Lonchura striata: one gene and its partners. The protein of the gene in region 4 interacts with the protein of the main gene of each other region in a pairwise test. Links are inferred from orthologs where the notes say so. Each region holds a gene or a part of one and is shown on either strand. Other genes may lie near its edges.

Evidence for each region.
Region 1: the proteins of CREB3 (region 4) and FA2H interact in a two-hybrid assay, tested with the Homo sapiens proteins (2 studies listed by BioGRID and IntAct). The two-hybrid records come from large-scale screens. The link is inferred for Lonchura striata from reciprocal best matches to the Homo sapiens genes CREB3 and FA2H.
Region 2: the proteins of CREB3 (region 4) and DNAJC30 interact in a two-hybrid assay, tested with the Homo sapiens proteins (2 studies listed by BioGRID and IntAct). The two-hybrid records come from large-scale screens. The link is inferred for Lonchura striata from reciprocal best matches to the Homo sapiens genes CREB3 and DNAJC30.
Region 3: the proteins of CREB3 (region 4) and TMEM203 interact in a two-hybrid assay, tested with the Homo sapiens proteins (2 studies listed by BioGRID and IntAct). The two-hybrid records come from large-scale screens. The link is inferred for Lonchura striata from reciprocal best matches to the Homo sapiens genes CREB3 and TMEM203.

What each region holds. Positions count from the first base shown.
Region 1 is NC_134615.1:15,869,261-15,876,990, forward strand, and holds the start of FA2H (fatty acid 2-hydroxylase), read left to right. Parts: upstream 1-4,721; 5' UTR 4,722-4,740; coding exon 4,741-5,007; intron 5,008-7,730. UniProt on the Homo sapiens protein: Catalyzes the hydroxylation of free fatty acids at the C-2 position to produce 2-hydroxy fatty acids, which are building blocks of sphingolipids and glycosphingolipids common in neural tissue and epidermis.
Region 2 is NC_134622.1:3,876,826-3,884,352, forward strand, and holds DNAJC30 (dnaJ homolog subfamily C member 30, mitochondrial), read left to right. Parts: upstream 1-4,749; coding exon 4,750-5,376; 3' UTR 5,377-7,011; downstream 7,012-7,527. Other genes in the region: BUD23 (18S rRNA (guanine-N(7))-methyltransferase), read right to left, coding at 598-656, 1,187-1,232, 1,480-1,565, 2,085-2,135, 2,506-2,602, 3,603-3,699, 3,778-3,860, 4,020-4,115 and 2 more. UniProt on the Homo sapiens protein: Mitochondrial protein enriched in neurons that acts as a regulator of mitochondrial respiration. Associates with the ATP synthase complex and facilitates ATP synthesis.
Region 3 is NC_134624.1:5,297,578-5,303,111, forward strand, and holds TMEM203 (transmembrane protein 203), read left to right. Parts: upstream 1-4,152; 5' UTR 4,153-4,386; coding exon 4,387-4,797; 3' UTR 4,798-5,029; downstream 5,030-5,534. Other genes in the region: NDOR1 (NADPH-dependent diflavin oxidoreductase 1), read right to left, coding at 403-501, 1,209-1,306, 1,585-1,662, 2,207-2,341. UniProt on the Homo sapiens protein: Involved in the regulation of cellular calcium homeotasis. Required for spermatogenesis. Acts as a regulator of STING-mediated inflammatory signaling in macrophages.
Region 4 is NC_134642.1:39,589,179-39,596,123, forward strand, and holds the start of CREB3 (cyclic AMP-responsive element-binding protein 3), read left to right. Parts: upstream 1-3,936; 5' UTR 3,937-4,347; intron 4,348-5,029; coding exon 5,030-5,167; intron 5,168-5,249; coding exon 5,250-5,508; intron 5,509-5,725; coding exon 5,726-5,838; intron 5,839-6,051; coding exon 6,052-6,144; intron 6,145-6,651; coding exon 6,652-6,758; intron 6,759-6,945. UniProt on the Homo sapiens protein: Endoplasmic reticulum (ER)-bound sequence-specific transcription factor that directly binds DNA and activates transcription. Plays a role in the unfolded protein response (UPR), promoting cell survival versus ER stress-induced apoptotic cell death.

The DNA of each region.
Region 1 (7,730 bases), on a different chromosome or scaffold from region 4:
CTCACTGTGAAGCATCAACTGGAGAATGTACTGATGGATCTGTCTGTTTGGGGCTGTGCCTGCCAGGCACTCCCAGCACAGGGATGCTGCTGTGCAGTGTGTGCACACCTGGATCATGCAGCCTGTGCCTCTCCAGGGCTGGCTTCAGCCTGAGCTTTGAATTTGGGCAAATGTGTGCTCAGGGATGAGCCAGCTGGAGCTATCCCCACCTGTACCAGCACTGATCCCTTCTCCCACGCTTGCCTGCTGAGTGGTGCCGTGTGCCATGCCCGTTCCCAACCCCTGTGCTAGCTCAGGCAGTGGGATCCTGCTTTGGAATAAACAGATGATGTATCTTAAACAAAACATTAAAATTATTTTTTTTAAGTGCTGTTCTGATAGCATGTGGTGTTGCTCTCTCTGTGTGGGGCCCCAGCAGCTCTCCCTGCACCCCAAAGCAGAGGGCTCGGTAGTAGCAGAGCCGCACCAGAGCTAAGCCGCTGCTGGGTCCTGGCTGGGACAATGTGCTGACACCTGGGAGCAGGCTGGGAAGTGCCCGCGGTTGAGGCTCCTCTTGGGAAAGCACAGCCGGGCGGTGTCTGAGCTGCCGGTAAAGCCGGGGACGCTGCACGCTGCGGGCCGGGCGGCCCCGGGCGGCGTCCGGGCAGCGTCCGGCCCCTGGCAGCGTCCGGCCCCGGGGAGCGCCCGGGCCCGGGGAGCGCCCGGGCCCGGGGAGCGCCCGGCCCCGTCCGGCCCCGGGCAGCGCCCGGCCCCGTCCGGCCCCGGGCGCCGCGGGTCCCGCCGGCGCCGCCGCCGCCCCGGGCAGCGCTCCTCGCCGGGAGCTGCACGGAGAGGGCTCCCGCCTCCCTCCGTGACAGCCATTCAGCCTGCAAGTATTTTCATTTCCATGCTTGAGTGCTCCTGTAGCTTGGAAGGGAAAGGAGATTTGTTATTTAAAGGTGACGGACCGACAAATCGTGGTATTTAGTGTGTTATTACAGTCCATTACGGTCCATCTCTGTAGTATGTGAGTGCCCCTGAGGCGGAGCACGGCCGGCACTTCAGAGGAAAAGCCCTTGCCGTGGCTGTTTGTGTAGCCCTGCACAGATAGGTGGAATTTCTTCCCGGATGCTGCCAGCTTGTCTCTCACCCTGCAGCGTGTCTGGTGGCTCCTTTGGGAGCAGCCCCACTGCGTGCGGAAGTGACTATTGCAAGGAAACACGAGCGGCTTATTCCCGCCCGAAGCGAGACACCTTGTTGCCTTTGCTGTGCAGGGCAGCGATAAATGGTCAGAAATGGAGCGTGGTGGTGCCCCACAGCAGCCCTTCCTCTGTGCTGCCCACCCCCGACTGCCTGTGCTCGCACCCACCTGCTCTCTGTAATATCTTGGTACCAAGTGCAACAAGTTCCCCAGTGAGGCCAAACCTCACTCTGAATTTCAGCTTTAGAGAAGGGAGAGGAGGCAGGGACTGCTCAGGCAGTGAGCATGGGCCAGACCTGCTCTGAGGATGCTGCTGTGATCAAACCAGGTGAATTGGATAGAGCCTTCAGCTGATGCAGTGCTCAGGAGAGTGGTCAGTCATGCTGCAGGGCAGGGGATGACCCATCCATGGTTTCTGCTGGGGCAGGAGCAAGGGGGCATTGGATTAAACCAGCTGCTCTGCACCAGGCAGGAGCGCTCTTTGGCACCGCAGGAGAGGTGTCAAACCACTTCCCTCAGGGCATCCCCGGTGCCACGGGTTTGCCAGGGCTCCAGGAGTGACTGGACGCTGCCAAGGAGAGGAGCTCCATCTCAGGCCACCTCTGTCCAGAGAGCCCAGCCAGCAGTGCTCTGCAGAAATGCCCACGCACCCCACGCCTGCTTTGGCATCCTTCCCAGGCCGGTGCAGGGGAGGATGCCAAGGGTGGAAGACCTTAGGTCTGACCCTGAACAGCTGCTTGCCAAAACTTGCTTCAACTGCCTGCCAAGTGCATCCTAGGAGCTGTTACCTGTGTATCCATTAGCTTTCTCAAGGACAGGGCTGGAAGAGGGAGAGGGCACCCACGACAACCCACGCTGTGCCCTAAATGCCACTGTCAACATTTTAAATCCTATTTGTTTTCCTACTGAGGGTGTAACAAGTATGGTGTGCCTTCCCTATCCCCACTGAGGCTTTCCATGTACACAGAAAGAAGTTTAATCCCTGATGATCAAGTTTGGCAGAGAAACAAACAGTGTTTAGCAAAGAGGGAAAACCTTTCCCATGGATGCAATACCAAGCAGAGTCTGTATTGGCCTCCTCCTCCTTGATGGCCACAGCTCCATTATCCCAGCATCAGCCCCTCCAGCACTGCAGGGCCTAATCCTGCCTCAAGCCCAGCAGCACATTCCTGCTGTCTCCTGTGTGCCAGCCCCAGCGTCTGTCCGTCCGTCTGGTGGGGAAACCAGTTTAGGAACTGATGACCAGAAGCCACTTGGCTGCTCTCATTCCAGCCAGGCTGATCAGCAAACCAACTACACTTCCTGATCCTGCTTGTCCTGGAGCTGGCATGGTGCAGGGACAGGGACAGGGAGGAGAACTCCAGCAAGGACAGGCATTGGCATTCAAACTGCTGCCAGTTTGATCCTGTTACACTGGTATCTGCTGTACAGTTTGCTCCCAGTACTGTCCCTCTCCCAGTGCCACTTGTGCTCAGTGCATTCCTGCTCTGCAGGTGACAGGGTCCCACTGCTGCTCCAGTCTCACTGCAGAGCTGGGGATTGGCTCACCCACTGCAGGGACACCCTTGTGCCTTGCATGGGGGGACAGAGCCCCACCACAGCACCCAGGAGGTAACATGGGCAGATGAAATGTCAGCTCATAAGAGCCTGGTTCATATCCCTGAGCCCTGCTGTGGCACATTTGAGGACCACAGCTCTCTGTGTGCTTGGGAGAGGATGGCAGCAGGGACCCACAGGTCACCCGGCGGCTTTGTGGGCTGGCAAAGGCTGGACCCACCTCTGCCATGAGTGGTGATTACAGAGGGTGGCCCTTGGCAGCCTGTGGCCCCAAACCCAAGGTAGGGCTGGGCTGCACAAGCAAGAGCAGCCAGTGGGGACTGGGTGATGGGATCACAGCCATCTCCATCTCCTCCAACACCCCACAGAGGGATAGTGGCCACTGCACCTGAGCATGCTTGGAGTCTGGGGTCTCTGATTTGGAATTGGGTGCAGTGGCCTCCAGCTGAGAGGCCCAGCTCATTCAGATCTGCCCCCCCCACCTTGCCCTCATGCTCATTAAAAAATCCTCAATGTCCATCCAGAAGCCATCCTAATGCCCCAGAGAGCTGTGCTGGATTGAGCTTACCTGTCACAACTAGGACCACCTTGGCCACTGAGGGTATTGGGGAGCCCCCTTTGGAGAGTGTCCCACTCCAGCACCTCATTTGAGGTCTCCCAGCAATCTCTCAGGACTACTCTGGCCCTCTCAACCCCCAGAAAATGTTTTTGTCCTCCACCCCAAGGAACTCCCAATGCACCCCAGGTGCCCTGCAGCAGCCCTAGCCAGGAGCATGCCCACCCTTAACCCTTCTGCTCCTATCAGGGTGCAAAACCAATCTGCCCACCCAAAAAATGACTTTTCCCCCAAGCAGGTGACAGGGTCATGCCAGGAGCTGGTGGGAAGGTGGAGCCAATGCCGACTGCCACAGCAGGTTTTGCATCCACCTTGATTAAAGGCCTCAGTGAATGCCTGGCCTGCGCCCCACAGCACCCCAAAGCCGGGGGGCCTAGGTGGTGTGATGACCCACCCCTACAGGTGGGGCTGGGGGGGCTCCCCATTCCTGGGATGGCAAACCCCACCTTAATCACTGGTTGCAGCCCAGTGTGGCCGGCAACGCCAAATTTGCTGGCACGTGGCCAGCCCCTGTGGTTAAGGGTGTCACCCCAAAGCAGCCCCCCTCACTTCAGAGGGAAATCTTCCCAAAAAAATGCATGGGAAACTCCTTTCTTGTCATTCTTTATTAATTATTTGCTTGTGATTCTTTGGAGTATTTGGGGCTGCCTCCTGCCCCCTGACTAATTGCAAATTTATTTAAATACTGAAATATATCTTCAAACAGCTGGGAAGGGGGTGTGGTGCCTGGCAGCAAGTGACCCTGGGATGAGTTGACCTCTGGGTGACCCCAGGAAGGACCCTGCTCCTCTGGGGCACTCTGAGCCACGATTGGGGCGTCCCCTGCCTTGGCCACCAAGAACCTTGGAAGGGGATTGGTAACTTGGGAAGGGTGATTCCCCCAGGGGTGCCCTATACCCCCCAGCTACCACCCCAGGATGCCCTCACAGCCTCATCCCTGCTCCAGGGATGCCCATACTCCAGTTCCACCCCGGGGTACCCCGGTGCCCCCCATAATCCATCCAAGGTTGCCCAGACCCCCCATTCCCCCACCCTGACCATACCCATGGCCCCTGGGGGGCCCTGTCCCCTCCCCTGGGCACGCCCCATGTCCCCCTTCACCCTCTGGGCGCGCTGTGCCCCCTTCGCCCCGCTCTGCCTCTCCAGGGATGCCTCATTCCCACTTTCCAGGGTACCTGCGGTGGGGCGGAGCCTCCGCACCCCAGCCACGCCCACCCGCCCATGGCTGCCCAATGGGCCGCGGCGGGGCGCGGCCCGGGGCGGGGCCTGGCTGCATATGCATGTATGCAGATGAGCAGGTGCGGGCAGAGCGCGGCGGCGGGACGGACGGGACGGGACGGGACGGGACGGGACGGGACGGGACGGGACGCGGAGCGGCGGCGGGGCCATGGCCACGGCGGGGCCGCGGTCCTTCAGCGCCGCCGAGGTGCGGGCGCGCTGCGCTCGGGGCGCCTGCCTGGTCTCCTGCCACCGCCGCCTGTACGACCTGAGCGGCTTCGTGCGGCTGCACCCGGGCGGGGAGCAGCTGCTGCGCCGCCGCGCCGGCACCGACGTGAGCGCGGCGCTGGACGGGCCGCCCCACCGGCACTCGGAGAACGCCCGCCGCTGGCTGGAGCAGTACTACGTGGGGGACATCGAGCCCGGCGACGAGCAGGTACCGCCGCGGGCCCAGCCGGGACCGGGGGCTATAGGGGAGCCCGGGGGCATATACGGGGTTGCGGAGTGCCTCAGGTGCCTGCTCCAGGGTGAACAAGGGCTATGGGGGGCCCCACGTCTCGGAACTGGCAGATACAGAGGCTGTAGGGTGCCCCAGGGTGTGCAGGGTCTGTACGGAGTGTCCTGATCCCGGGACGTTCAGAGTGTCTCTAAGGTACCCCAGGTCCCAGGGCCGGCATGTACAGTGGTTCTATAGGGCACCCCACGTCCTGGGACTGGGATGTACCGAAATTATAGGGTGCCCCAGGTCCTGGATCGAGTTTTGATGGGGTACCCCAGGTCTGTGCTCTCTGGGATCTGAGTAGTGCAGGGTTTATAGAGCATCTCAAGTCCAGAGTGCATGGAGTCTAAGATGTGCAGGGTCTGTAGGGCACCCTGGATCCAAACTGTGCAGAGTCTGAGCCATACAGGGTCTGTAGGGCACTCCAGGTCCAGGCTTATCAGAGTCCAACTTGCAGAGACTGGATTGGCTTTGGGGTGTACATGTCAGGGAGTGCATGTACCATGTAAGGTGTTTACTGCACCCAAATCTCAGTCTGAGCTGTATGGGACATGGTGTGTGTTGGGTCTGAGGAGGACAGGACCCATAGAATCAGGCTCTGTAGGGTCTGGGATCTACAGGGTGTGAAGGGTGAAGAGGACAGAGGATATCTGGGTCTCCTGGGATCTTGCATGGGTGGTGCCTGAGGTGTGCAGGGTTCCAAGATCCCATGTGCCTCCTGGCTCCCAGGAGTTCTCTGGGGTCTGAGGTGCAGGGGACCCTGAGGCCCACAGGGCGCCAAGTGCACAGAGCTGGGTACTTACAGGGTCCCACTCCACAGCCACATCCCGCCCTGGCCATGCTAGGAAGCAGGGCTGATGGGTGGATCTGTCGTGCCAGTGTGGCATGGAGATGTTGGGGTCTTTGGAGCAATGCAGGAGATGGAGCTCAGTGTCAGTTTTAGCAGGACTGTATGGCACAGAGTGGGCACTGGGGTTTGCCAGTGGTGAGCAGCCACTGCTGAGGAGAGGAGCCCAGCCATCTCCTTGACTGCCTGATGTCATGGGACACACACAGCTCTGTCCCCACTGTGCCAGTCCCGTGCTGTCCAGGCAGAAGAGAGAGCTCCCTGGGGAAGTTCCGCAGCCTCCGGGTAGCACCGGGCACTCCTACCCAGCCACCAGCCCTCACAGCACACCATGGGCAGGATGCTGAGCAGAGGGGCCAGCCCGGCCCCCTTCACCAGCCCAGCAGTTCCTCTCTAGACATCCCAGCGGGGTCAGTGACCGGCCGGTCCCTCGGGCTGGTTGTTTGCTCTCGCTGGGTGTCCTCCCCAGGGCGCAGCCTCGGCCCCAGCGCCACAGACAGGGCTTTGTTTCAGCCTGGGTGCAGTGCCTGCGTTTTCCCCGGACGGATGCCGGCGGTGGCACCTCCTCTGTTGGGACACTCGCTGAGCCGCCTCCTCGCAGGTGTGACGAGCCCAACGGGTTGGGGCGAAGGAAGGTACCGGACAAACGGGTTCTCCTGCCGAGGGGAGCTGCCACCATCCCAATGCAAATACATGGCGTGATAACGCCAGGGCGCAGGGAGATCAGACACTGCTGCTGCCAGATAAACCATCCCAGCCTGAACCACACAGGGCAGGGATTAGAACTGCCTGCTGGACAGTGAGGCCATGTCCAGCATGCACTGATGTGTGAACTGCTCTGCCCTACTCCCCACCCCCCAGAAATCTTCTATGAGGAGAGGTGATGTCCTTGGTAGTGCTTGGGTTCATGCTTTGGGTGCTTTGGGGCAGGTGTAGCCCAAACAGGTCTTTGGAGGAAGTGTTATATTCCACAGCTTTGCCAGGGCCTCTCCTTGCCCGCTGGATTCCATCATCCCCATGCTGAGGGATTCAGAATGCTCTGGTCCCACAAGCATCCAGCATCCTCCTCTGCTTCCTTCAGAAATTTCCAGGATTTTTGGAAAGGGGGAAAAATGTGTTAATGCAGGAGAGATAAAGAAGATCCAGCCTTCATTCCACTGGTGTCTCCATGCCCCTTCCTGTGGCTCTCTCCTTTGGCCACAGGTCCCTTTTCTGTATCACCCAAATCTTTTTGACTAAGGACAAATTAATCTCTAAACATTTTATCTATGCAAGCAGGACATATAGGGGTGATCAAAGCGAGTACCAGTAATTACCTAAACTAGACAGTGGATTTTAACAGCCTCGCTAGAAGGGAACTGGATCATCTAATTACCCTTCCAGTTTGAGCAATGAGGGACTTTCATCACAGCCTCTTTGGGGTGCATGATGTTGGTGTGAGTCACAATCCTCCATCTTTCTCAGGTTTAGTGTCCTTCTCTTTCTCTTGCCTGTATTGCTGCACGTCAGGCTCTCCCTGGCTTTGCATCCCAGCCTGAGCACTCTTGGATGTAGGCGGGACACCTGGGGCACCTCTTTGGGGGTGATGTAACAAGAAGTCACTTTTTGTATTACTACTACGATTAGGAGATAAGTTCACCTCCTTTTAATAGTCCTGCTGCACCCAGGGTTTAATGGGCTAAGACACAGCTTTGTGGGGCTCTGCCAGCCAGAGAACACAAACCACAGTGCTGCTGGGATGGTGCTGCTGGGATGGTGCCTCCACAAGCAAGCACCTTGCTTGGGCTCTCTGCACCTCCTGGGGTGTCCTCAT
Region 2 (7,527 bases), on a different chromosome or scaffold from region 4:
CTGCTCTGCTCCAAACAAGGCAGACAAAGTCAGGCTTCCTACAACATTCCCAGCTCTGCTACTGCCCTCCAAGACCAGATACCCCTTAGACTAAGTGAGCAGATAACAGCAATGTAAGAGGCAGGAAAACATGGCAGCCACAAGCTCCTGGCAGCCACGACAACTTTCCTCTGGTTTTTGTTTTGTCTCTCCCAATGGCTGCAAGAGGGGCTCCTCCCTGCACCACTGCTGTGGGAAGAGACCTGGCCAGCAGCAGAAACCCCCAGGCCACATCTAAGACTTGGACAGGAGTTAAAAGGGAATGTCAGGACTCAGGCACTGGAGCCTGCCTCCATGGCTCCATCATGAGCCTGTAAACATTCCCTCCCCCACACCACTGCCAGCTGGAGAGCCCAGTGCTGGGCTCAGCCACAGCTCTAGGGAAAGCACCTGCAGCCCCATGGAAGAGTCCTGGGACTAACTGTTTTGTGAGTCCTCCCTGGCCTTCCCCTCCCATTGCTTCTCACACAGCAGCAGTGTGATCCCCAGTAAAGCTCAGCCCCCAAAGGCCCCTACTCCTTGTTGGGCAGGACCTGCAGCCTCACCCCCACACCATACCTCTCATTGGTGAACTTTGCCTGGTGCAGCTCTTCACTGGCACACTCGGTACCAAGGCCCTGGAAAGCAAAATTGGGAAGTTGTGTTCTCCTCTGGACCAGGCACAGCCTATCAAAAGTAAGGGGAATGCAGGGATCTGCAAGGGGAAGGACCAGAGCAGGAACAAACTGGTCTTCCAAAAATCGTGGCAAAAAAAGGCAGATGTCAGAAGAACAGCTTTAAAGAGGGAAGGGTTAGATTGGATATGGGAAGAAATTCTTGCCTATCAGGGTGGTGAGGCTCTAGCTCAGGCTGTCCTGAGCAGCTGGGGCTGCCCCATCCCTTGAAGTGCCCAAGGCTAGGTTGGACAGGGCTTGGAGCAACCTGGGATAGTGGAAGATATCCCTGCCATGGCAGGGGTGGAACAGGATGAGCTGTAAGGTCCCCTCCAACCCAGTCTGTGATTATATGAGAGCAGGGCTTGGTGACTGGCAGAAAATGCATAAATGAAGTCACATCTGCACTCACAGAGCTGTTTGGCTCCCACACTGCCCACAGCTCCTCCACATCATCCAGGACAGCAGCTCTGCTGCCTCATGGAGACCCTCACCTTTGGTAATGTGCCAGATGTCCCAACAAAGAGACAGAGGAAGAACCTGAAAGAACAAGAATAAGGAGCATAAATGTGGGATTCAGCCTGTGAGTCTCAGTCCCCAGGCAAGACTGAGATGGTTTATAACAGAGTCATATCTAAACTTTAACCTCTGTCCAGAACTGTATAACGGGAGAGAGAACAGCTCAGGGAAAAAAAAAAAAAAAAAAAAAAAAAAAAAAAGGAAAAAAAAAATAAAGACTGGTAAACCCACCCTTTACCCCAAACACACACAGAGATCCAGGACTCACTTCTTGGCTTTGGCACTGTTGGGGTAATCCACCACCATTCCCCCTGTAAATCCAGCTCTCATGGCTTGGGCTGTGATGAGCTCCAGCTGGGAAAAGCAGCAGGTGCAAAGTTAATTACCAGTCATCCCCCAGGAAAGCCCAAGAGACCTCTGGGAGCACCACACCTAACTGGGCATTCCCAAGAGGGACTGCTCCTCCTCCTGCTAAGCTCTGCACCCATCTCTGGTTCTGCAGTCCCATCAAGAGACCAATTCCCTGCCTTTGTTGCTTCTCCCTCCTCCTCAGTCCAGCCTAGGTTAGCTGGCACAGCAGACTCTCTAGGAGAGGGACACTGGGCTGGATTTTCCAAACCTGAGTTAAGCCACTCTTCAAACCCACACTCACATTGTATCCCACCACTTTAAGGCTCAGCCAAGACAAATCTCTGAAACAACAGAACCTCTACAAGGTTTCCTCCTTACAAGTTATTTTCCTGGGCTCCTGAAGGGCTTTAGAAGTGGTAGGCAAGACAGAGACACTGCCTTGATGTGGAAGAACACGATGCATTCAGATCCCCAGAAGATTTCTCTGCCTGTACCCCCTCCCAGCTCACTGATGGGCTGTACCTGCTCGGAGTTCTCGGGGTACAGCTGCAGCACAGCTCGGGATCCTCGGGCCTGCAGGAAACAGCTGATCACACCTGTCCCAGTGCAGGTCACCCCCTCTGGCTCCCCATGCCAGCCCCAGACATGAGCTCCCTCCTCCCCAAAACCTCCAGGACAAGGCTCCCAGGAGAGGTGCCCAGCCCACAGAGCCAGTGAGGCACTGGGGAACACCAGGTATCCCAGAATCATGGACTGTTACGTTGGGAAAAGACCACCAAGACCATCAAGTCCAACCTTGATGAAAAGAGCACCAGGCAGTGGCTGCTCCTGCCAGTCCTGCTTCAGAGCAGCAATTACTGAAAACAACCTGACTTGAAGTACCTTGCTAAAAAGCAAAGACATAAGAGCAGCAGAGACTTGGCAGGCAGAGGGTGGCACTTACCAGGGCAGTGTAAAGAGTGGAGAAGAATTTGTAGAGGCGTTTGGGGGGGCTGTGTGACTTCTTGTCAGCATTACAGAGCCACTGCACCGCAGAAATACTGAAAGGAAAATAAGACCCTCATGACAGCACCACTGGTTCCTTCACAGAGCTTGCCACCTCCCTTTGAGCTGAATTCCTGCACTAGGCATGTGCTGGGCCTCAGGGAAATTAAATAATTTCCTCTGTGTTGCTTTGCCTTCTGTTTCACAGCTACACAAACCCCTCTGGAGGCTCACTATGCCAAAACTTAACAAGGTGCATAACTTAAAGGACAAAAGCACCACCAAGCATCCCCTTTAGTCCAAGTGCTCAAATCCTAAAATGACAGATGCTTTGAGTTGAAAGAGACCTTTTATCTCAGCTTGTTCCAGCCCCTGCTGTGGGCAGGAACACCTCCCACAAGACCAGGTTGCTCTAAGCCCTGTCCAACCTGGCCTTGGACAATTCCAGAGATGGGGCAGGCACAGCTGCTCTGGGCAACCTGTGCCAAGGCCTCAGCACCCTCACAGGGAAGAATTTCTTTTGTGTATCTCACCTGAATTTTCCCCCTTTCAGCTTGAACCCCTTACTCCTGGGTCCAATCATTACAGTTCCTGAGGGATGCTGGAGAGCTCAGCTGTGTCCCTTGCCTGGCCAAGCAGGTTTTCCCAAGGAGCAATCTAAAACAGAGCTTTTGGCTCAGCAATGGACAGCCCTTGCTTCTTCCCAGCTGTTCTCTAAGCAGGTAAGTTTCCCTGTCCCCTTCATCCCAAAGCCAAGCATCAAACCTTGATCCAAAAACTGACTTTTCTACGCTGACAATACCCCCAGTTTTACTTTCTTTCCTTCAACAAAACTCCCAGCTCACCAGCACAAAAAGAATAAGCATCACTTGGGAAGCAGCTGTCACAAGCTACTTCTAACATGCAGAATTTTGGAGGTTTGTCCTGGAGTGATGGAGCCAAGCTGCACAGAGCAAAGAGAGTGGCTGACAAGGCCAGTGCCTCTCACCTGTGACTGACCAGGTGTGCATCGGGGTGCTCTGGGGATGCCAGGAGAGCTCAGCTGTACAGACTCACCTGATACAGCCATCAAACATGCCAGGCCTGAAGGGAATGCCATGACCCACATCTGCCAGGAGAAGGTCTCCTTCCACCTCCCTCTCCACGGCCACATCTGCACAGAAAACAGCCCAGGCAATCAGCTGCCACCCTTGGGGCCTCTGAGGGTCTCCTCAGGGGAGGTTGTGCTCACCCAGCATGGCAGGGCTGATGTCCATGCCGATCCAGTAGTGACCCTCCTCGGAGATGTAATCCCCACTCAGCCCTGAGCCGCAGCTGGAGGGAGGAAGGGGAAACGCTGGGCTCACGGGGCTGCTCTGAGGCTGTGCTGGCCACACAACCCCAGCGTCCCAGCAGCCCACAGAAGACCCTGCTGCTGTGGCATCGGGCCACCCAGCCCCAGACGTGCCACGGAGGCGGCAGAGCCCCGCTCACCCCACGTCCAGGAGGAGGCACGGGCGGTCCTCGGGCAGCCCCAGCAGCTCCACGGCACGCTCCGACATCTGGGACTGGATCTCCACCACGCGGGAGCTGAGGCACGGCACAGCGTGGGCGAGGGGCGACAACCCCCGCACCGCCTCCCGGGGGTACCCCCGGGAGGCGGTGCGGGGCTTGTCGCCCCTCGCCCCCCGGCAGCATCCCCACCGCTCCCGGCGGGATCCAGCACCACCCCCAGCCCCGGTGGGTCCCGTCCGTGCCCGCCCCACGACCGGCAGCTGCTCCCGCCGTACTTCTGCGTGTACTTGCGCGCCTCGGCCTCATCGTAGAACTGCAACGAGAGAGCGCGGCCGCCGTGAGGCCCGGCCCCCGGCGGGGCCCGGTTCCACCGGCGGAGCCCGGTTCCCCAACAGGAGCCCAGTTTCCCCTAGCGGAGCCCGCTTCCCCCGGCGGAGCCGCTCCCGTCCGCCGCCACTCACCAGCTCGGGCGGCCCGCGGTGCTCGGGCCGGCGGCCGCTGCCCGCCATGCTGCGCGCGCGTGCCGGCCCGGTGCGTGCACACGTCACTTCCCCGCGCCGTGCCGCCCCGGTGCGTGCACACGTCACTTCCCCGCGCCGTGCCGCCCCGGTGCGTGTACACGTCACTTCCCCGCGCCGTGCCGGCCCGGTCGGTGCACACGTCACTTCCCCGCGCCGCGGCACGGCCCCGGGCGGGCGCTCAGGCCGCCATGGGGCCGGCGGCGCTCGCGCGGCTGCGGCGCCTCCTCCCCGCGGCCCCGCGGCCCGGCCGCGCCCCGCCGCCGTCCCGGGCCGCGCAGACGGGCGCCGCCGGACCCCCGCGGCCTCGCCGCGACCTCTACGAGGTGCTGGGGGTCCCGCCCACGGCGACGGCGGCGCAGATCAAAACGGCGTACTACGAGAAGTCGTTCCGCTACCACCCCGACCGCAACGCCGGCAGCGCGGCCGCGGCCGAGCGCTTCGCGGCCGTCAGCGAGGCTTACCGGGTGCTGGGCAGCGCCGCGCTGCGCCGCAGGTACGACCGCGGGCTGCTGAGCGCCGCGGAGCTGCGCGACGCGCCCCGGCCCTCGGGCCGCGCCGCCGCCGCCGCCCCGCCGCCGCCCCGCGCCGCCGCCGCCCGCCCCGGGCCCGTCCCCACGCCCTTCGACTTCGACGCCTTCTACCGCGCACACTACGGGGAGCAGCTGCAGCGGGAGCAGCTGCTGCGGGCGCGCCGGGAGCAGCTGCGCCTGCGGCGGGAGGAGACCGCGGCACAGGGACGCCTGCGGGTCTTGTCCGATCTCTCCATCGGGATGCTTTTCTTCCTGGGGATCGCTCTCCTCTACGGCCTCAAGTGACGGCGGGGCCGTGGCGGGGCTGGGCAGCCCCCGCGGTGTCACCGGGAGCCTGGCGGCGGGCTGGGGCCGTGCCCTGCAGCGCCCTGTGCCTGCTCTCCAGCCTGTGACATTGCACTCTGCCAGCGTGACCTTCAGGGACAGGAATCCATCAGCAGGTTCCACAGGCTGTGAGCTGGCCCCTGCCAGCGTGACCTTCAGACACACGGTGCCCCTGGATGCCCTCTGTGGGCACAGCCTGGGCCAGGCCGTGCTGTGCCACTCAGCGTGACCTCGCAGAGGTGCTGCAGGAGCTCTGGATGTGCCCCCTCAGCCAGTGCCACCTGCACAGTGCCTGACAAGTCAGCACAGTTGCTGCACTCTGGACTGGCATGTGTCCCCTCCTTTGGCACAGCTGTGTGACCTTGGTGTGCCTGCAGAGATTAAAGGCTGTCAGAGGTGCTGTGTGCTCTGTGTGTTCAGGGTTGCATTCACTGGTGGCTCTGCTGATGCCAGAGCTGTGCTGTCACACCTGCTGTCACAGCATCTCTGGGAAGCTCCTGATGTCCCACTGCATCAGCCTGCTCGGAATGGCAGGGACAGGAGTCCTAGATCCAGACTTGAGGAATGAAACCCGAGCCCACACTGGCTCATGCCCTGGTCAGTGTGTGACATTGCCTGGAGGTGTGGGAAGGCACTTTGGTGAAGTCCTCTGTCCTGTCTAGGGCCTGCCAGGAATTTCAGACATCCCCTCCCTCTGAGGTTTTTGGCTGTGGTGCACCTGTGAGCACCAAGTGCTATTCTCTGTATTTTACACCTGTCTGAGCATCATTTGCACAAGAGTTTTTGCCTATTTAAATAATGGAGTGTTTTAAAAACTAAAGATTGTATTTCTCAGAACCTTTTCTCTGTCCTTGGGTGAAGGTTCACCTGTGCTATGTTGCTGCTACCTGAGCTGAGGGAGAGAAGCTTCATGGCAGTGGCCTGAGCGTGCCAAAGACTGTGTGGGACACTGGGTTTGTTGTCAGTGGGCTGAGCAGGAGCCCAACCCTTGTTCCCTCACCACGCAGACCCTGGGTTGTGCTTTGTCCCAGCACAAGAATGTTACAAGTGAGTGCCCTGTGTTTTCCACTGTGGATTTCTGTGATGCTCAGAGCTGAGGCAGTGGCACAGCAGAGACCACCGTGCCTGCTGGCTGTGCAGGATTGCTCTCTGCCTGCTCCCAACAGCCTTGTGCCACCTCCAGCTGCACGCTAGAGGCTGGACTAAGAGCCCAGGGGCAGATTGAGCTTTCCAGGATCCTCACTGGGTGCCAGCCTGTCCCTTCAGCTGGGATCACAGCACTGGATGTCATCGTGGGAGACATAGGAGCCTGGTGTGCCCTGGCTGCAGAGGGAAGCTCCCTGGAGTTGTGGCTCTGGCACCTGCTGATGCATTGTCTTGCTCATCTTCATTCTGTAAAGCAAATCACTGCAAAGATCAGAAGTAGCTTTTTGGGCAGAGTTTGGCAGGAAATATTAATTTCCAGGATGGAAAAGCCAGCCATGTCCTCTAGCTCCCACCCAAACAGGGGGTTTGGCAGTTCCTGCTGCTGGTTCTTCCTCTTCCTCCTCAGGTCTCTGTGATGTATCTTGAAGATTAAAGACATCCAGCCATAAACTGGTGACAAAATGACACATCTTTCTTTTGGTGGGCCTGGGTGGTAAATATTCCTTGCACTTTCTGGAAAACATGGCTGAGGACAGGCAGGTGTTTCACATCCTGACTTCAGCCAGTGAAGAAGAGGGCAGGGAGGGGAGTTCTCTTTGCTTTGCTGGGAAGGGGTGGGCATGCAGCCTGCAGGCAGCAGGGCAGGGTGGCCTCTGGAGCACCATGGCCATCCCTGCTGCTGCTGGAGGTCCTGTTCTGTGCTGCCTGACACCCAGGGGTGGCTGTGCCCTGGTGACAACATCCCCTGTGCTCTGCACTCACCTGCTGCCTGGACAGAGGAGGGTGCCCTAAAATCTCCAGTGTCACCTTTGCTCTGGTCAGGCCTGAGTGCTCCTCTGCTCTGAGAAGGACTTCAGGAGCTTGGGCAGCAAGTGGCTGGAGCTGGGCCAAGTGCACAGACTGCCTACCAGCTCCCAGCCTAGCACTGTCCTGCTGTCCTGCCCCTTCTTCTCCTTGTGTCAGTAG
Region 3 (5,534 bases), on a different chromosome or scaffold from region 4:
CCAACCACTAACACCTGAACAGGATCTCCAGTCCTGAGCAGCACTGAGTCACTGGGGTCACTGTCCCTGAACCATCCACAGCCTTTGCCCCGTGCTAGGTGAGCACAGCTGAGGATGCTGCAATGCCCACAGGTACAGGGCTGTGTGACACAGCCATGCCCTGCTCTGAACAGGTCTGGGACTGAGCCAGGGGTCATGGCCACATTCTGGGGGCCATGGGACACCCTGGAGAAGCAGGTAGCCCAGGTCCTGGCACAGGAGGATTATGAGCAGAGATCAGCACATTCCTAGAGAGCTGGAGCAGCCCCAAGGTGGGAGCAGCACACAGCCCTGCCATCAGCCCCAGGACAGAGCTGCAGGGCATCCCAGGGCCCCCCTGCCAACCCTCCTCTGGGCTCTTACCCCAGGTCATGCTGGTCATCTCCCAAGGCCACTGGCAGCAGCGGGCTGCCCCCGAGCTGAAGCAGCCGTTTGTGCAGCTTCTTTGCGATGAAATTAAACCTGAGCAGAGAATAACACAGGGCAGGGCTGCTGCAGCAGTGCAGCAGGCACTGCCACAGCACCAGCACATGCTGCTAGGGCCACCAGAGCAGCACACAGGCAGAGCCAGCACTGTGACCTGGCCCATGCCCTGCCCGGTCTATGCCAGTTCACAGACCCAGCTAAGTGCCAATTGCTGGCCCTCACAGGCTCTGCCCATCCCCAAGATGGGACAAGGGGAGGTCCAGCTTCTTTTCAGGGCAGCTTGTGCCCTAGGCCATAGAACATTTCCTTCCCTCCAGCCCCCCACTGCCCCACAGAGCCCAGGCACACCCATCCTCCCCACTAGAACTCTTTGAGGCACACAGAACAACCTTCTGGGAGAGACCTGGGACCAACGTGGCTGGCTGCCACCTCTGTTTGATGTCCCCTGTTGCCTTGGCCCATAGCTGTGATAAAAGACTGACACATTATGTCTGACCCTTTGCAGCAAAGAATCCTTGGTGAGGTTGGGAGGAAAGAAAAGGGCAGATGCCTAATTCCTGGGGGTGAGGAGGGACACAGTAGGGCAAGGATTTTTAAGGCTGGTGGGAGTTACATTTTGTCTGGGCTGCTGCTCCAGAATCAGACTCTGTCTCCCCTTACCCCCTTGGCTCTCCAGCCACTCTGCTCTCTAGTGCAGTCAGAGCTGTGAGGAGCAGCTGCCCAGGGGCTGCAGAGCTGCTTACTTGGGGTAGGAGGAGTCCCCGAGGCCCAGCACAGCGTAGTCCAGCTGGCACAGGGAGCTGGCAGGGAGGTTCTTCCGGAACAGGAACCGCCAGAACATCTAGGACAGACACAGCTGGCCAGTCCTGCTGCTGTCAGGCACCCTCCTGCCTGCCTGGCCCTGCATCCCTGCTCACCCACCCACCCGCTGGGGCCTCCTGCATCCTAGCAGAGTGGGGAGCATGGCTTTCAGCAGAAGTGCCCCTGCTCCTGCTCCCTGGGATGTGAGTGATGCTGCTGCAAAGCTGCCCCAGCAAGAACAACCCCTGCTCGAGCTGCTTCAGGAGAGACAGCTCTGCAGCAGGAACATAAAAGCAACAGGACAGAAGCACATCTTACCTTCATGTTGTCAGGTGGGTCTCCCTGGCCGGTGGTTGCACACACAAACACCACCAAGGGCTCGTGGATGAGGTTGGCCTGTGGGTACAAACATGGCACAGTCAGGTCAGCAGCCTCCAAAGTGCTCTGGAGCCAGGCTGGGACAGCTCGGGGTGTTCAGCCTGGGGAAAAGAAGGCTCCAGGGAGAGCTCAGAGCCCTTCCAGGGCCTGAAGGGGCTCCAGGAGAGCTGGAGAGGGACTGGGGACAAGGGGGAATGTCCATAAACTGAAGGGGGTCAGGTTTAAGTCAGAAATTCTTCCCAGTGAGAGTGACCAGGTTCTGGCACAGGTTGCCCAGAGAAACTGTGGGTGCCCCTGGATGCCTGGAAGTGTCCAAGCCCAGGCAGGGGAAGGCTTGGAGCAACCAGCACCAAGCCTATCTGAGTTCAACAGTGTTTGGACAACACTCTCAGGGACAGGGTGGGATTGTTGGGGTGTCCTGGGCAGGCCAGGAGCTGACTCAATGATCCTGATGGGTTCCTTCCAACTCAGCTTGTTCCACGATTCCGTAGTGCTGTGGGAGGTGTTGGTGCCCATGGGGCTGGAGCAGGGCAGTGCCCGGAGCAGTGAGTGTCCCACTCACCACGTCACAGCTGTCCAGGGCCTGCACCCGGCAGCGCAGGTGCCGGCGCTGGGCTTCTCTCCCAACCCTCTCGGCCGTGTCCTGAGCTGTCCCAGTCTGGCTGCCAAAAAGCACCAGGAGTCCCCGTTCTGCCATCTGCAGGAGACAAGAGCAGGAGGTCAGCAGAGGGTGTCAGAATCTGAGGTATTGATGATTCTGAGATTGTAGAAAGTCTCTGTCTGTCAGCCCCACTGCCAAAGCAGAAGCCATAATTGGTCTGTGCTGGTTTCCAGGTTGTTTATTCTGTTTATCTCTCACATGTTCTGCTGCCCTGCCCAGCTCTGTCCTGCAGGGCAGCGTGTGGGGCTCTGCCCTCAGTGGGATGTGACAAACATTCAATACCAGAAACTCCCTGGGCTGGATTTACAATAACGTGCCAATATCTGTCACCTACATTGGACAGTGTGTCCCCAGCCTGAACCAACAGAAAAATGCCAACACCACAGTGAAACATGGAGGGCATGAAGAAGGAGAAAAAGGACAAGACACACCCAATTTCCTCCGTCTTGCCTCCTTTGGACCCCTAATCTAGAATCCTAAAATTTTACTTTTGCACCCGTGCCACACTTAATTATTGCTTATATCAAACACTCAGGGGTTATAATTCATCCTGTAAGATTGAAAACTCTTTTCCATGGACAGAGATCACAGACAGTGTCTCTGGGGGCTGTGTCCAGGGGGTTCCTGACCCCTGCCAGGGTCCCAGGCCTGCCAGGACAGCCAGAGGGAAGCTCTGGATTCCTACAGAGGGCAGGAGAGGAAGGGAGTCAGGGCTGCAGCTGCCCGGGCCCAGCAGCACTGATCCCGGGGCTGACACAGCATGCAGCCAGCACAGGGGTGGCCAAGAGTGGGCCACAGGGGTGGCATTCAGCTGTGGGGCCAAGGCTCCCAGGCTCTCTTCCCACCCCTGTGCAGCACTGAGGGTGTGATCCCATGTCCCAGCCCATACAATAAGCAGGGACGCTACTGTGCTCCTCGTCCCCACTGCCAGGCCAGGGAGGGACTAAAATCCACATCCCGCCCCGCTGAACTGCCCTCGCCAGCACAGGCTGAGCACAGCTCTGGGACTGCCTGTTCCCCAGTCCTGGTGTAACCTTCCCGTGTGCCCTGGGAATCCTCCCTCCCCTGAGGGGGCTGGGGCAGAGCCTGGAGGCTCAGCACAGACAAAGAGAGCACACGGAGCTCTCGGCCAGACTGACAGAGCAAGGGCCCAGCCCGGAGGGAATGCAGCTCTGTCTGAGCTGCAAACGGCTGCCACCACCATGTGCCCACAGAATAGTATTAAATTAAATCTTAATAATAAAAAATAAAATCGCAGAATCACTGACTGGTTTGGGTTAGAAAGGACCTCGAAGCCCAGCTCATTCCACCCCTGCCATGGCAGGGACACCTCCCACTGTCCCAGGCTGCTCCCAGCCCTGTCCAGCCTGGCCTTGGGCACTGCCAGGGATCCAGGGGCAGCCACAGCTGCTCTGGGCACCTGTGCCAGGGCCTCACACCCTCCCAGGGAACAATTCCCAATTCCCAATCTCCCATCCATCCCTGCCCTCTGGCAGTGGGAGCCATTCCCTGTGTCCTGTCCCTCCATCCCCTGTCCCCAGTCCCTCTCCAGCTCTCCTGGAGCCCCCTCAGGCTCCCGGGAACCCTCCCCTGCCGGAGAGCAGCCCCGGCCCGGCCCGGCCCGGCCGCGCTGCGGGACTCACCGCGGACCGGCTCCATGCCGCCTCTGACGTCACCGCCGCGCGACAGCTCCCGCTGACGTCATCGGCGAGGCTGAGGCGCTGGGAGCCCCCGCTCACTGTGTCCCCGCCTGATGACATCATCCGTCCGTCGCCTCTCACCGTGACGCCATCGCCCCGCGCCGGCGGGCCGGGCCGGGCCTGGTGCCGGTGCCGGGCCGGGCCGGGCCGGGCCGGGCCGGGCTGGGTCAGGTCAGTGACTTGTGCCGGTGCCTGTGCCGGTGTGGGGCTGGTGCCGGGCTGGGGACTTGTGCCCGTGCCGCTGTCGGTGCCGGTGTGGGGCCGGTGCCCGACTAGGGACTTGTGCCGGTGCCGGTGCCGTGCCCGTGCCGGTGCCCGTGCCGCTGCCGTGCCTGTCCCCGTGCCGGTGCCGGTGCCGGGCCGGTGCCGTAGCCCCGGACGATGCTGTTCTCCCTGCGCGAGCTCGTGCAGTGGCTCGGTTTCGCCACGTTCGAGCTGTTCCTGCACGGGCTGGCCCTGCTCGCCTTCTCCGTGCTGCTCGTGCTCAAGGTGGACGGCGCGGCCGCCGCGCTCTCCTGGTGGATCGTGTTCGTGCCCTTCTTCGCCGCCGACGGGCTCAGCACCTACTTCACCACCATCGTGTCCGTGCGGCTGTTCCAGGACGGCGAGAAGCGCCTGGCGGTGCTGCGGCTCTTCTGGATCCTCACCATCCTCAGCCTCAAGTTCGTGTTCGAGATGCTGCTGTGCCAGAAGCTGGTGGAGCACACGCGGGAGCTGTGGTACGGGCTCATCATGTCGCCCGTCTTCATCCTGCTCCAGCTGCTCATGATCCGGGCCTGCCGCGTGAACTGAGCCCCGGCCCGGGGGCCGGGCCCGGGGCCGCTGCGGTCGCTGTCGCCGTGCGGAGGGGCAGGTGACGGGCGGGGACAGGGGCAGTGCCCCAGCTCGCCGCTGTGGTGCAGAGCATCACGTTTCTCCAAAAGCTGCACATCCCTGTTTGTGCCCCCTCAGCTCCTTGTCCTGTCCTGCGAGAGCGGCTGGGCATGACAGTTATTTTATTTTAGAATAAAAATGCATTGAAGGATTAGGTTTATTTCTGAGATTCTTTTTGCCTATAAAACAGTTGTACCTCAGACTGCTGCCTGGAGGGCGGGTGGTTGCTGTAGATCCCCTGGTACAGCCCAGACCCCTGCCCTGCCCTGCAGCTGGCTCATGGATTTCCATCTGTCCCCTCACTTCCCCGAGCACTTCATACCTTCAGTGCTCTGCTGGGGGTTTGTGAGGTCAGGTTGAGATCACTGATTTGTGTATTTTTGAACAGGAATATGATTTTTCTTTGTGTTTCACTCCATTTCCTACATTCAGAAATGGGGGTGTGGGGAGGCAGGAGCGTGCAGGGGTCTGGGCTGTACCAGGGGATCTACAGTAACCAGCCCCCAGCCCCCCCAGAGAACAGGAGGAATTCAGTATTCCCTGTGGAAGTGCAGACCAGTGTGTGAAGTGCCAGTGTCACCGGGATGCCAGGGTGGGGTTGTCTCTGCAGGGCCAGGAGCTGCACTGATGATCCCTCTGGGTCCCTCCAGCTCAGG
Region 4 (6,945 bases):
CCTTTTTGAACCACAGGCACGCTTCTGAGCCAATCCCAAAATGCTGAGGGGGAGGGGTTAACCTTGGTGGGGTCCCACCACTTCCCCAGGAGCTGCTGCGGCTTCCTCCATCTCACCCCACGCAAGGTGAGCAAAACCAAGACAGCGGTGGAGGCTCCAGGCTCTGCCTCAGAGCAGGGCCAGTGCAGGCAGGGCTGTGGGCAGACAGGACATGTGTGTCCCAAAGAACCGCGTCATTGCTGGGGACCACTGACAGTGAGTTTTTGGTCACACGATGGAATTACTGTATTTCTGTTGGATGACTTCACTGCTGAAGTAACAGTTACATTTGAAGGGTTTGCGTCTTAAAAGACAAAAAAAATTAAGCAAAATTCAACTGTGGACAGCTGGAACACTTGTGATGAGTTTCCAGAACAAGCTGCAAATCTTCAGATGCAACAGTTCTGCCATTTTTATTACGTTCTCTCTTAAGGGATACTTTGAAAGAGGTTTTGGAATGGGGTTTGGTTTTTCCTTCTTTTATGGTAATACCAAATTTCACCTGGGAAAGGCCCCACTGCAGACCACCTCTGGACTAGGAGCTGGCTGCAGGAAGCTTCATCAGCTGCAAACCATCCCAGTGCTGGGGCTTTCCACAGGCACAGCCCAGCCAGTACAGCCACTGGCACAGCTAGGAAGATACCAGGCCACCAAAACGCAATGTCTGCAACAGTGGCTTGGCCAGCATGTAAACATCTGCACACCATCAACACCAAAAATTAAGCTGGTAAGAAGCCAGACTAGGCTCTAGCTGGGTTCTCCTGTGTTCTCCGGTGCAGGACCAGTATACACAGCCACAGCAGGCAGAGGTAGGCAGAGCTCAGCCCTGCACCAATGGGAAGACTGAGCCAGCAGCCCCAGCTGGTTTAGTGTCACACGCTGCTGAGACCGTTCAACCCAGTTCCTCTTTCCCAGCTGCATGTCCACGTCAGATGGGAGGACAGTTTCTTCCAGCTGAGGCTGAGCTTGCTCCTGGGGAGCATGAGTGGCTGTCAAGGCCAGACACTGCACCCCCATGACCACTCCGCTGTTAGCCATGGCTAGGACAGGCGCATCCTCTCACTCCTTCAGGGAGAGCAGCCCTGTTCTGCATGGGAAATGGGCAGGGGCCAAACAGCTGGGCTGGAGGATCGCAGCCGCAGCCTGCCTGCCTGCTCACATGCACTGAGCTGAAGCAGCTCCAGCTATTGTCTGCCAATGTTTCACACACATCTCACATCCTGTCTGCTCCTGCTGGGCATCGCTTGACCTCCAAAGGAATGGAGCACAAATCATGGCACCTCTAGACTGCCCATGATGAAGGCAGGCATGGTGGGACCCCAGCTGCAGCCTCTCCTGCATCCTTAGCAAGCTGGCCCTCTAGCACAGGACTCCAAGAGCAGGAGTTGAGTTGCAGTGGATGCTGTCATGACCTCTGGAAAGCACTAAGTGCCCTGATCCAAGCACCCATGCTTCCCACAACAAGCAACTTGCCCAGCACTGTGCTGCTGGACAGGCAGAAAGGTGAAAGAAAGAAGAGAGCATGGCTGCATTTTTGGGTCATTTGCTGGTCAGCAGCCAGCAAAGCTCAGTTCTGAAAAGAAGGGCACCCCACAGGCCTCTTTTCATTTTCCTCAGCCTTCCCACTCCCCCTTCCCTAAATCTAATAGGATATGTCACTTTGGGGAGCATCAAATTCCTGCCACTGCCATTCAGCAAGGAAACTGATGCTTGGGTGGTACTTCCCATGCACCATCACAGATTCACTCAGCACTTGGGCGGTTTCACCCTATGATCCAGGGAAAGGCAGGTGGTCTGGAGCTTTTATTAGGCAGCTCACAGGTTTTGCAAAACTAAAGATCCCAAAAATATGCGCCCTTCCCTTCTCAGCAGCAAGGCACAGAGAGAGAAGGGAGTAAACAATTATCGCTACCAAATATGGGTCTAACAGGCAGCGATGAAGACACGGCAAAAGCATGTAGACATCCTGCCGGCAGATTCAAAGGGATGGGGAGCTTGCAGGGGCTCGGGCAGGATCCGGCAGGGAACAGGCAGAAGATGGGGCAGCGTTTCTCCCTGCTTGGTTAGTTGTCTCAGCCGGGATATGGTGGGGACCCAAGCCTTCCCCGATTAGGGCCAGTCCCACCCTGCATGGGAACCACCCCAGCGCCCCATCCTGGGGCCTATAGCCAGCTGTGTGTCCTAGTGAGAACTGTTCGGGTGACGTCCCTGGCTTCGGTGTGGTCACGGGAAGCCCTGGTGTCCCCACCCAAAACCACGCAGCAGGACACGGACACCCTTGCCACGCGCTTTTCCCCACGTCCCCGGCAGGGTGGGCGGGATGCCCCGGGAAAAGCCGCGCCTGGCCTACGCGGACTGTTGGCCACGGCCAGGCTTGTCCAGCTCGGTCCCCAGAGACCCCCGAGGTGGGGATGCTGGCCCGGGCCTCGCCACGGTGGACTCCAGGCCAGAGCCTGCTGAAGCAGGGCAAGTACAAGGCCGGGATAACGTGGCCGGGGATAACGTGGCCGCGCCAGCCCATGTTACCCCGGAGCCTCCGGCGGGTGTCGGTGCTCCGGCGGCGCCGGTGCCAGGGGCGATCTGGGCATGCCCCAAAGTCTGAGCGAACCCCGGAAGCCCTCGGGTCACCGCAGCCCCACGGACAAACCCCGGTTGGAGCAGGGAAACCCCGGTAACCGGAAAGCTGCTTCCTCCCTACCTCCCCGCCACGTACCGGGGGGGTGCAGGGCAGGGTCCCCAGGACATCCGTTTCCGGCAGCCCCCCGAGACTCAGGGCCCTACCGGTCCGCAGGACCCCACTCCGCAGCCCCCAGCCCCCGGTTACCGGGACACCGAGTGTCCTCCGTCCCCGTACCTTTGCGCGGGCAGGAGCAGCGCGGCGGCCCCGCGTCGCTGAGGGGAGCTGAGCGGCCGGCACCGCCCGCTTCCCGCCCCCCCCACCCCGCCACGCGCATGCGCCAGAACGCGGCGCCGCGCTGCACGGTGCCTCGGCGCTGCGCTCCATCCGGACACCGCGCCACGGGCAATCCGCTCCCACGGACAGCGCTCTGTACCCGCACGACTCGGCCCGACGCCCCGGGGCTGGTCACGGTTCCGCGCCCGCGCAGCGTGGCCGTGCTCCACCTGCTGCTCACATCGCACTCCCGGGCGCCCGCCCGCCCCGGGACACCCCCGGGGCTCGGCATGACCCCGGACCCACCGCCCTCCCTTCAACCCGTCTCCCCCATTCCCTCCGCTCCCCTCTTTTCCCGCCCCGCCCCGCGCTCCCGCCGCCCGCGCGCGCTCCCGCCGGCCACGCGCCCCCCTCCTCCTAGCCAATAGGCGAGCGGTGCGTCAGCGCGGGAGGAGCCGGGGCGGCGCGCGCGGGGCCCGCCGGGACACTGGGTGGCGTCACCGCGGGGCGTTGGCAGCGGCGAGGCGGAGGTGAGGGGCGGCTGGGCGCGGGCTCGACCGGGGGTCGGGGCTCCGCTGCTCGGAGGTCCCGGCGGTCCGGGCAGCCGGGTCCGGCCCGCAGCCGGGGCTGAGACGGGCTGCTTGGTTCTCCTCGGGTGGATGTGCCCGCCCCTGCGCTCCGCTCGCCTTTCTGCCGCACCTGCTCCTCCTGTTCCCGTCCTGCCCGTGCTGCCTGCCCGGCGCACGCTCCCTGGGGGAAACCGTCTGTGGAAGCCATGGGCCCTGACATTGCCCGGATTTGCCCAGCTCCTCTTCCTCTTGTTGCTGAACTTTCTGCTGACAGCTCTCCCCTTAGTCAGCTGGCTCAGCAGTCCTGGCTGGGGACTGCGCTGGCCCTCTGGTTTTGGGAGGGGTTTCAGGTGGTTTTGGTGGTATTCTATTTTTTCTGGGTTTTTTTTTTTTTTTCAGACCGTGACACTTGACAGCTAGATGTGAAAGCTTAGCAGTGCTGATGGAGAGGTGCCATGGATGCCTGTGCTCTGACAGCCTGAGTGGTGCCTTGGCTCAGGCATCGCCCACAAGCCGGCCGGGCTGATCCCGCCGAGAGCCATGCGAGGCCGCATCTCCTCAGGGACCGAGGCTCCTGGGCCATGCCTTGTCAGGACATAACAGCAGCAGCCCGAGCTGGGACCAGGCCAAGCTAAAGCTGCCACAGCCACGCAGGTGCACAAGCCCCAGGGCAGTGTTTGGCTGCAGGTCCCTCACTGCCCTCCCCGTACCTGTGGCCGCCTCCAGCCGCTGAGCTCTGCTGCTCTCACGCCGCTGGGCCCTGACGTCCCTGGCAGCAGGGACAGCTCTCCAGGTCACTCCTCAGGGCAGAGAGATTCTTTACCAGTGTCTGATCTCTACAGTAAGGTAAGGAGCATTTTACTTTCAGCCTAAAGGTATACTGTGTGCTAGTGACCTTTATATATATCCATCTATTTATTTGTTTCATCCCCTTACTTATTACGAGTGTGTTAAACAGTACTGTGTTTGACAGCTGTCTGAATTGCTAAGTCATCATATAGGTCTGTCAAATCACTTATTAATTACCTTTCAATGATCACTTAATCACCATTTGATTGCCATTTAATTTTTGCTCAGTCATCGATTACTTAGAATTTGATCATGATTTAATCATTAACAGAATCCCTTTGGTTAAAACCTCAGCAAAGACTGTTCTTAATTTTCCTGGCACAGGAAGCTCTCGCTGCATACCAAGGGGTATGGCACCTTCAGGTTTCTGTGGAACAGCAGAATCTTGCCTGCTCTCCACACCATTAAGTCTGGGATTGTTTCATTTTTCCTGTCCTTTCTGCAGCTTTTATGCTCTGGGTGGAGCATGGCTCCTGTGGCTGGGTCCAAATAACCTTGTATTGTCACCATTGGTGCTATAATGGCAGAAGGAGATGTTACCTGGCTGGAGAAGTACTTGTGAACTGGCCATTCCTGCTGTTGACATTGCATGGGGATACTTCATAGGGTCTGAGGGACACCTTAAAGCAAGGCTGGTGTCTCCTGTTGTGTCTGTGCTCACTTTGGGTGTCCTGCTCAGATGTCATGCCCAGAGGAACTGGATGCCCTGGCAGATGTGGATCTGCTTGACTTTCTTCTGAAGGAGGATGCTCCCTGCCCTGAAATCCCAGGGGAGCAGAATGGTCTGCTGGAAGACTGGGGCCTGCCAATGCCTGAGGTGAGTTCTTTGTAAGGAATTGCTGCTGAGCTGAGGTTTAGGAGGTTTGTCTCCCTGCTGAGTAAAAGCTATTCCTCTGCAGCTCCTGGACAAGGAGATGGATGACTTCATCAGCTCACTGCTGAGCCCTTTAGAAGATGAACCAGACAGGCTCAGTTACTTGCCTGCCAACAATGACAGCAGCATTTCTGAGGATCAGCTTCTGTCCCATTGCCTCAATAGCAATTTTGCGAGCCGAGACATTGTGCACGTTGATCATAACTACTCCCTTCATCAAGAGTGGCCTACACTGGAAAGTGTGAGGTCTGACATGGCAGAAGGAGATGTTACCATTGAGCTAGGTGAGTGATGTTACGGACTCTTTGTGCCCTGGCTGCAGGCAGAAAAGAGAAAAGTAGTCCCATACTGGTTTGTTTTGGGGGTGTCAGGCAAAGATGGAGAGAGCCAAGATTAAAGGCTTTCTGCTGTTATAAAATTGCTATTTCATGCCACTCAAAGCTGGCTGGTCAGGTGCTGCCTCAGTGAGGCCCAGCATTTGACTCATCTTTCCTTCCCCAGGGGCATGGGTAGGTTTGGAAAGTACAAGTGAGGCACTGGAACAGAGCACCAGTTCCCCCGTTGCTGTTGCTGTGGAAGATGAACCCCAGCTTGTGCCTGGAGCCATTGTACAGGTACTGACTCCCATGCCTGTGGACCCCAGCCTTTGCTTCTCACATTTCTCCTTCTCTTCTGACTTGGCTCCTGTGAGGGGTATCTCTGAGGGAAAGCATGACATTACTTTGGAAGAGCTGATTCCAGTTCTGTGTGTTTGCTATGTGCCCTTGCTGGCGGATGGACTCCCTGTAGTATGCATTCTCAGTAGGCTTATTTTTGCTGTTTTCTAGTCTGACTTCCCAGAGCTGGTCCTGACAGAGGAGGAGAAGCAGCTCCTGGAGAAAGAAGGTGTTACATTACCAACCTGTCTGCCACTGACCAAAGTGAGTCCTCACTAGAACCATGCAGACCACTCTTAATGTATCAGGTATCGTAGGGGTTTGAAACTGCAGGACAGTGCCTTGATGAGAATATGTTGTCCAGATGCTGCATTCCAGGCAGTGTTCATCTGGGCTCAGTGTCCTTTTCCTTCTTTCGAGTCCAGGGCATTGTCCATGTGCACAGCAGCTTCTGGCTGCTGTCAGTCTCCAGACTTGTGGCTGTTTGCAGGAGGCAATTACACCACGAGTGCCTGCAGCTATTTTTTCCTGCTTGCCTAGTGGCTTGTGGTCTGTGTGCTTTTCATTTTCCTTAGGTACGCCTTACTTTTGCTGAGTCACGGAAGCTGCTGGCTGCACCAGCAAGGCCAGGGTTTGCCTTGCAGTTTATTCACTGGTGTACGAAGGACAGAGGACACAAGCACTAGGGCTGAGGATTGATATGTGAGCGCAGTCTGAGAGGGTGGGATTGCCAACACCCTGGGATTGCTGTTAATGAGGTGAACCTTGCAGGCTGAGGAGCGAGTTCTGAGGAAAGTGCGTCGTAAGATTCGGAACAAGCAGGCAGCTCAGGATAGTCGTCGCCGGAGGAAGATCTATGTGGATGGCCTAGAAAACAGGTATGGTCACACAGGAGTGTCACCAATACTGAGGGGACCCGTATGTTCTTTTAAGGGATCCTTGGCAGAATGATGATGGCCCTTAATTGTCATTTCAATCAGAACTTCATTTTCCTATCATGTTATGATTAATATAGCAGAGGATTTGTGATTACAGTGGCACAGTTTTTCTACAAGCAGAATCAAT